2 linked regions of the Caenorhabditis elegans genome follow. The protein of the gene in region 2 purifies or fractionates together with the protein of the main gene of each other region. This does not show direct contact. Each region holds a gene or a part of one and is shown on either strand. Other genes may lie near its edges. The genes, in order: F58B4.5 and grl-7.

Region 1 (3,903 bases), 410 kb from region 2:
ATAGGAGTATTGTTATCGTGTGCTATGACTTCTCAAGCAATTATTGTTGCAAGTATTGCTTCAAATGAGTTGATGCCAACTGCAATTCGATCAATTTCATATTCAACTGCTCAGCTTTGCTCAAGATTTGGAATTGTTTTTGCTCCCCATGTGTTCCACTTGGTGATTTTTTTTAAATTTCAAACAACTGTAGAATAGATTTAAAATTAAGACCAGAATTCTGAAGAACAACACTAAGTCTGCCTGAAATCTTGAATAAAAATATGACCATCAAAAACTTAAAACCAACGCTTGATTTTCAGAACTTGTACACTGGTATTGACTTTCCAGTTTTGCCATACGCCATACTTTTAGCCATCGGATTGGCTGATTTCATATTTTTCAGAGTAAGTTGAGCGAATTTTCTCTAATTAAAATTTTTTTTTCGTTTCAGTTTTTGATTCCTGAAACAAAAAACAAGCCTCTTGAGGATTTTATTGTCAATAGAACAAAGACTATCGGGAACGATGAAGAGGAAGAAGATCGAGTTTAGATGCATATTATAATTGAAAAAAAAACAATACAAATAAAACTTTTATTAAAACAGTTTGTTTATTGCTGAACTTAGAATTCAAAATATTTTGGGAAGTTTTTAATATTGCTCTCGTGAGTTGTGATAACATCTTCAAGAAGTCCAATCATTTTGTCTAGTGCCACTTGTTTCATCTGAAATTTTTTCTTTCTCAATAAGTACGTAGAAGTAGAACATTTAAACATACAGAGTCTTTGTATTCTTCAGTTACATTTGAATGTTGGAGCATTGGTGCAATTCCAGGAAGAACCATTGTAGTCATTAGTGGGAAGTAAACTTGATAACTATCTTTAAGTTGTTGGAATGTATATGGAACATCCATTCCATCAAGTTCATTTACAAATGTATTGTAGTATTCTTCCAACAAGAAATCTGCCTTTTCTCTTCTATCTTTTGTTGATAAGCATGATGCAAACAATCGGCCAACGTCTTGTGCTGGAGTTGTGATTGAAACTGTCTGAAATTCAAAAATCTGGAAATAAGCTTCTAAAAATCTAAATTAACCTGGAAATCAATAATCGCTTTCAATGTAACTTTTTCTCCATCTCGAGTACACAAAAAGTTTGAGCTCCACAAATCAGAATGGGTGAGAACTGGTTTATAACCAAAGAATTGGCATGTATTTTTGAAATTTTTGATCATTTGCGGTTGGAAATAATAGTCTTTGTAGATTTTCAGCATTTCCTCAACTTTCTCCAAATACTCTTCTGGGAATGACGCTTTAAGCAGTACATTCATTCTTTCAATTGACTTCTCATCCATGAATTGTCCAAAAACAATATCCAAAAAGTCGGCTCCGCGAGCATATTTTGTCTCCTCTTCACTTAATTTCATACCAATCGCAGAAAATGCAGCAATTGCATGAATAACTGGAATCAGATCTTCAGCTGGAATACTTTCATGCATTCCAATATGATGAATATTTGGATAATATTCGGAAATCAAATAAGCCTTCAATTTATTCTCGTCGTCAAATGGCTTTGATGCGTAAACCTAAAGTTTTTCAGGTAAAAATTCAAGTAAAATCAATTTATTCACCTTCGTGAATGGAATCTTTGGATGCTTTTCTCTCATCAAAATCTTGTACGTGGCAACTTCTCTATTATGAAGCAATCTTGTAACTTCTCCCATTCCTTTCAGTTTTGCATCATCCCAAAACTCATCACCGGAAGAAAAATCCATAAGCTTGGTCATTTCAATGAATGGAAGTTGAGATGAAATCTTGACCACAAACTTTTCAGGCAGTTCCTCGTTTTCAGAAGCCCCTACCCACTTTGGTTCGACCAGAGCTATTTTGGACATGAATCCCTAAAATGTGAACGTCGAATATTATAAGTACAAAGTGAATCAAATACCTTCATATCACTGATATTTGTGGCAGTTTTGTCATCTCCAAAAGTGGCAGTTGTATCCAATGCCTTTTGCATTTCTTCCAGCACATCTTCCCAGGTAACATGAGTTCCAAGAAGTCCATCAGCAACAGTATACAACGACATTACAACTGCCTTTTCAAGAAAAAAGATGATGTAAATGCTGATTTAAAAGTTTTAACTGAAAACTACACTGTCTCTGTTGTTTTATAAGCACGTGCATGACCGCCTTATCGCGAGCATTTCATCGATAGGTTGATTGGGTACGCCTTATCTGTTGAGAAATGTTTGATTTTTTAAAAGCCATGCACAAACCATTTTCACAATTCAAACCGTGGTTTGGAACCGAAAAAAATCTGGAATTTTCGGAGAAAGTGCATCTTTAAAACATCCGGGTTGTTTGACTTCATGACGATCACAGCGAGAAAATCGATTTCCAAAACGAAAAAAAAAACCAAATTATGAGATTTCATATCAAAGAACATGCACAAATGCGTTGTCATGTTTATCTTAAATTTCAATTGAAACTTGCACTGATCACACTTCCACTTTGTGACTTATTTCCTACAGGGAATGCTTCAGAAATTAATATTCACCGATTATGAATATTTATCGAAAACTTTATGATTTGAATCGAGATAAAATTCTAAACGAAACAAGTATTTGAGTTTTGAAGTATGAAAAATGGATTTTTTTCAGGTTCTTTGCAGACTTGAACTTCTTCAGGCATTTAGTTTTCTGAAATCTTGAAAATGAAATGCAGATTATTAAACAACCTTGATTTAAAATCACCCCGACTAATAGTAAGATATATCTTGTGTTTTTCCTTTTTCATCTAAAGAACAGGTGATGTCTTTTTGTTTTCTTGGTTCAGTTCACATATCAAGACCGCCAACATCAGTGAGCTCTTGGAATTGGTGTTTGAGCTAACGTATTACAATCCCAATCAGGAACAAATTCTTTAAACGTCCTCAAACCATGTCGCGATTTTGTTAATTTTATATAAAATTGATTGACAAGAAACGAAGAAAAATATCTAACGAAAAAAATCGCCTGGAAGGAAGAAAGCTAAAATAATATAGGATTCAAAACTAATATATTAATAATTCAGTCCCAATCTTTCATTTTTTGTTCCAAATTAATTTAGTTTATGCAGATTCAGTATGGGATGGCAAAGTCAAAACGTTGATCTTTCTGACATCTTGGAAATTCTGTTAACACGTTTCAAATAAGTTTCAAAAAGTTGCCTGGAAGCAAAAGAAAAAATGCAAATGTATGTGGTTCAAAGTTAGCAAAATGTTTCTAAATAAATTTTTTAAAAATGAAATACCTTTGCAATGCTCCAAAAGCTCTTACTCAACATATCTTTTATAAACATTACCAGTTTGATGTATAGTCATGGCTTTCTTACGAGATGCTAATAATGGACTTTTATTGAAAATATATTGACTTCTCTACTCTAGCCAATATTTGCTCTGAAAGTGAAATCAAATTCATGAATCTGTCTATTCACATAAATCAATAGTAAACAGAACACGCTTCTATAAAAGCGAACAAAATTTCTGATAAATCAGAAATGATTACATCCTATATACTACTATTTGCTTCTGTAGTCTGCTTGGTGAGTGAATAGATGACGGTTTTCTCATTTTCTGTCTTGAAAAAATATTTTCAGGGCTTTTGTGCTTTGGACGACCAACTTTTGACGGAAGAAGGAAGTGGATTTGAGCCACCGCCGATTGTCAATATAACTGTGGAGTTGGTATCAAATAGATCTTTTGATCCGGAAAAGAATGCTTCCAATTTGAAAATTGTGAAAGATGCTGTGAGTATCCGCTTTGGGCCACGAACAAAAATTATCATTTTCAGGTTGATGATTATTCCAAAAAGGAGAATATTAGGTACCCATCTGACAATATCAAACAATCAATTATTGATCACGGAGGAAAGTTTGCAGTTCTT
Region 2 (4,535 bases):
TTTTTGGAAAATCTAAATTATAATGTTTGATTTTTTAATTTAGCACGTGGATTGTGCTGCTACTTTTTTTGCTATTTTGCCTCGACCCAAGCTAGGCAGACTAGGTGGGTACCAAAAATAATATGTTACTTTAAATTGCCACACTGTTTAGTTTTTAGTGCAAATAACTATCATATATGTAAATACTTAACTTTTTAATTTAAATAATTTCAAGAAGAAAAACGAAATATTTTTAGATTTCCGAGTTCAATCTTGTTCATCTGATAGAGCATTCACGTTGCAATGATCATTCGTACAAAGAAATGAAATTAATCATTAGTTGTGATCTACACTATTCTTCTAGCAAAAATCTAAACTTCCAGTTTCTTATTTTATTACTGTGTCTGAAACCTCAAAAAACTGATTTAAAAGTGATTCATGTTATCATTTTGTCAATAAAGAACAGCATTTTTCAGTTTCCATGTTATAATGCCAATACAAGAACCCGTTGTTGCCATCCACTATCATTCTAAAAGAGACGGTAAAATCAGATTATCTTGATCAAAAACAAATCCCGAATATTGGCGAATATTGCATATATACGTCTCTTAATTCATCGTCAACGTTAGCGAGATAAGAGAGCGGGATTGCGCAGGTGAAGCCGTCGACAGCATCATCGGGTTCTTTTTCCGAAAAAATCGAGAACAATGGAATAGTTGAAGAGAGAAGCTAGCAAGTTTTGGGGTGTGTGCCAGCGGCTACAATTGATAACACATTTTTGATGGTGGTTCGACCGTATAAAAGCTTTCAAGATTCACCTGAAACGAGATTCAATCTACGATGGTTTTTTTTTCCATTTTTCACGATTTGTTTTGTTTAATCGATATTTAATGGAATAATACAATGTAAAATACAGTATATAACCTTTTCAATTTAGTGTCTTAATTTAGCAATATAGTGTGAATTGGAATTTGTCTACATCCATTGACCATCTGATCTTCCTACAGAAACTTTCACTTATTGCTTTTGCATAAATTTCCAATTTCGGTTATTCTTATTAAACTTTGAATGGCAGTGTGACGTGGCGATAGGGCTATTAGAAAATTATGAAGACCGCTGAACAAACTTGTCTTATTCGTTGCCATTCATCATGAGTATAATGAGAAATTAATCATACTTCTATTGCATAACCGCCCATCAATTTGGATATGTCCACTTCCACACAATTTCTGACAATGTTCTCGTATTCAATCCTATTGACAATCCAGCCAAAAAACCGGACGCTCGCAGCTTATCACTATCAATCAAACCCGCCAAAGCATTTTCTACCCACCGCGCTAACCGATCGGTTCTCTTGTTTCACTAGTTTACAGGGTAAAGCATCTAAGCTTCTCTAGGCAGCTTCTGACCCAGATTCAAATCTACCTCACCGTGATTCCGCATAGCAATAGTTGTAAAAGTAATTGGCATTTGGGTTTTGATGCTTCTTCTCTCCACCTTCTTTTCATTCGGTCCTTCGTCATTTTCATTCACTGTTGATTCTATTTCCAGAATGCTATTCCGACTTGTCTCCACTCTCCTTCTTGCTCAAACCACATCAGCATTCTTCTTCGGAGGAGGTGGTGGAGGTTGTGGATGTCAGCAGGCGCCAGCTTGCGCTCCACATCCAGCTCCAGCTCCATGCTCTGGAGGTAACATCGTTCAAGGATACGTTGGTGCTCCACAGCAAGGAGGATATGCTGCTGCTCCACAATATCCACAACAGGGAGGATACGGAGGAGCTCAACAAGGCTTCCAAGCTGCCCCAGCTCCATACCAACCCCAAGGAGGATACCAAGCTGGTCCAGCACCAGTTCAAGGATATCAACCACAAGCTCAAGTCCCAGCTGGAGGATATCAAGCTCCAGTTCAACCAGCTCCGGGACCAGCTGAGGTTGCTCCAGCTCAAGTTCAAGCCGGAGGAAATTACCAAGATGCTCCAGCCCAAGTCGCGGAAGTTGCTACAGCTCAGGAATCGGCTCCACCACCATCAGAAGCTGCTTACACTGGGGTAATATTAAAATGCATTACATATTAATTCTTTACTTTTAATTTGCAGGAACAAGAAGTAGTAGCTTCCCTTGCCCGTGAAGAGCCAAACTACCAGGTATGATGCTTGCTTCTGCTTTCATTTTCTCTCAGCTTTTACCATTGAATGACTAATACTGATTTTAAGCTTAAAGCGTTTTGTATAGCCTGCATGCCTTTCATCTGCTAAAATTCACTCGCACCATGGTCTTATCGACAATTCCTTCTTTTTTATTTTTTTCGCAACTTTCTTGCATGCATTCACTTTCAGAACACTGGCACCAATGTGATCGAAGCGGCTCAGCACGCTTCCGAGCTTGGAAACCAGGTACGGAGGGTCTCATTAACATTGAGTACCTTTTACATGGCTTGTTACTAACACCAAATTTTGTTTCATTTCTTTGTAAGTAGGCAATTTGTGCAAAAATACGTATTTTGGAAATTATCAGAGTAGTCCCAATCAATCACTATAACGCACAAAAAATTGATTTATCGTAAAAAATATAAATATATTTCATAGTACGTAGGAACTCTTTTCTTATTTGATAATTTTTTTTTTTTTGGCTGTGGAAAACACTTTTATCTTCCTAAATATCCCTTGCAAATATTTATCAGTGCCACTAAAAATAAGGTTTCTTCTTATTCTCGATCCAGAAAAATGTGAAAATGTTTCCTGGAATCTTTTGATTTCAGGCCGCTGCCGCTGCCGCCAAGGTCGCAGAAGTCGTTGAAGAAGAAGAAGAGCCAATCAAAAAGAAAGACGAAGGAAAGACTACACATATGAAGACCGTTAAAGCTCCAGCTGCTGCTTCCTCAACCACTGCCGCTGCTGCCTCGACATCTACAGAATTTCCAGTTGGAGAAGAGATTGTTGCAGACACCAACGAAAAGGAAGTTGATATCAGTGAACTTCACCTTACCGATGACCCACTCTGCAACTCTGATGATTTGAGAAAGGTTGTTATCGATGTAAGTTTGTTTTCTATTTTTTGAAAATATGCACCATGAGGAAAGACAAAATTAGCAATTATAAAAAATTAATTTCATTTAAAAGTTTTCAATATCAATCAGGCAGTATTTCCTGGATATTAAATCGAATTCCAATCCCAAAACATCTTACTCAAAACAAATAATGATTCAATTTTTTAAATTTTTCGCAGGAACTCTACTATTTTACGATTAAAGTAAAATTCTGAATCAATATGATTCCTTCATGAGATTTCCAATAGAAATTTGAAACTCGCGAATTTGATAAATTTCTTCAAGCCATTCGTATTGCAGAACATCGATGACCAATTGAACAGCTCAAAGAGAATGATCCAATTGGCAGCTGAGGCCCAATTCGGTGGACGATTTGATGTGATTTGCGCAAATGGCGATTTTAGGTGAGGATAGATGGTGGTGTGGCGTAATTTTACGACCGGTCATAACTATTCATTCAATAGGTTAACATTTAATGTTGCAGCTATGTGACCAACACCGAGCTCTACTGCCAAGAGACCAAAGGGGATATCTCATGCTACACCTACCGTCAATTGTAAATATAGAAATCAAAGATTTCAAAAACAGTGTTCCAAGTGCAATATAGAAAGGAAATTGTTTCATTTTCTTCTCCTCTTTGTTATATTATTTCCTGGTTCGACTAATAATAAAGTATTCGCTTAATAAACAGGTTTTTCATCTTCCGTATTGGTATAAGTCAATTTAAAAGAAAGATTTATGGGATTAATGAAAATTTCTTGAATGGCTAAGTATGTACACATTGCATAATTTTTTATTTTGATTTTATTTTCGGCATACTTAAAATAGAAAAACAGGAAATACATGAAAAAGAGGATGAGGTGAAAATGCATAAAATAAGAGGAAAATCAAATCAACCAAAACTGATAAATTTTCTTTGAAAGCATTGATATTTGGGTGGTCGGAGTATTTTTTTGAATTTTTGAATTTTTTCTTGTTTAAAATGTTTTTTTGAGTCACAACTCCAATAATCGTAGAGCATCACCGTACAAATTGCGAAATCATTGAGAATCTGAAAACGCTTGGAGAAAAAAGGGAATTCAGGCTACACAACATAACTATGAAGAGGAAGATGTTTGAGGGTAATAATATGAAATTGAAAGATCCCTGAACTGATAGGTGGAGACGTGGACGTAGACATTCGAAGAAGCGGAAATCTGAAAGATATGACATGTGGCTTGAAACATTATACCGACGGATGGCTTACTGCCGCAGAAAAGCTAGATTAGATGGAGTCGGATTAGACGAAAGAAGACAGAAAATGGACATATGTTCGATTTGGGTTTTGGCAGGGAAACAAGGAGGTATACTAATGGAAAATATACAATTTGAAGTAAACCTACAAAGTCTATACGTCTTAAACTAGCGAAAATGTTAAGTATTATGAATATTCGTTAATAGTTCTAGTAACTTCTAACACGCTATACGCTATAAACTTTGTGGTAATATTTTGTTGAATAGATTACTAA

Evidence for each region.
Region 1: the proteins of grl-7 (region 2) and F58B4.5 fractionate together in Caenorhabditis elegans (co-fractionation; one large-scale study listed by BioGRID). This does not show direct contact.

The regions. Positions count from the first base shown.
Region 1 is NC_003283.11:10,930,904-10,934,806, reverse strand, and holds F58B4.5 (CHK kinase-like domain-containing protein), read right to left. Parts: upstream 2,115-3,903; 5' UTR 2,068-2,114; coding exon 1,927-2,067; intron 1,880-1,926; coding exon 1,610-1,879; intron 1,565-1,609; coding exon 1,076-1,564; intron 1,029-1,075; coding exon 759-1,028; intron 706-758; coding exon 604-705; 3' UTR 562-603; downstream 1-561. Other genes in the region: F17C11.12 (Major facilitator superfamily (MFS) profile domain-containing protein), read left to right, coding at 1-162, 303-386, 434-532; scvp-1 (Secreted nematode Clade V Protein gene family), read left to right, coding at 3,518-3,562, 3,617-3,766, 3,811-3,903.
Region 2 is NC_003283.11:11,344,008-11,348,542, reverse strand, and holds grl-7 (Ground-like domain-containing protein), read left to right. Parts: upstream 1-1,530; 5' UTR 1,531-1,531; coding exon 1,532-2,029; intron 2,030-2,077; coding exon 2,078-2,125; intron 2,126-2,317; coding exon 2,318-2,374; intron 2,375-2,739; coding exon 2,740-3,015; intron 3,016-3,327; coding exon 3,328-3,431; intron 3,432-3,511; coding exon 3,512-3,587; 3' UTR 3,588-3,712; downstream 3,713-4,535.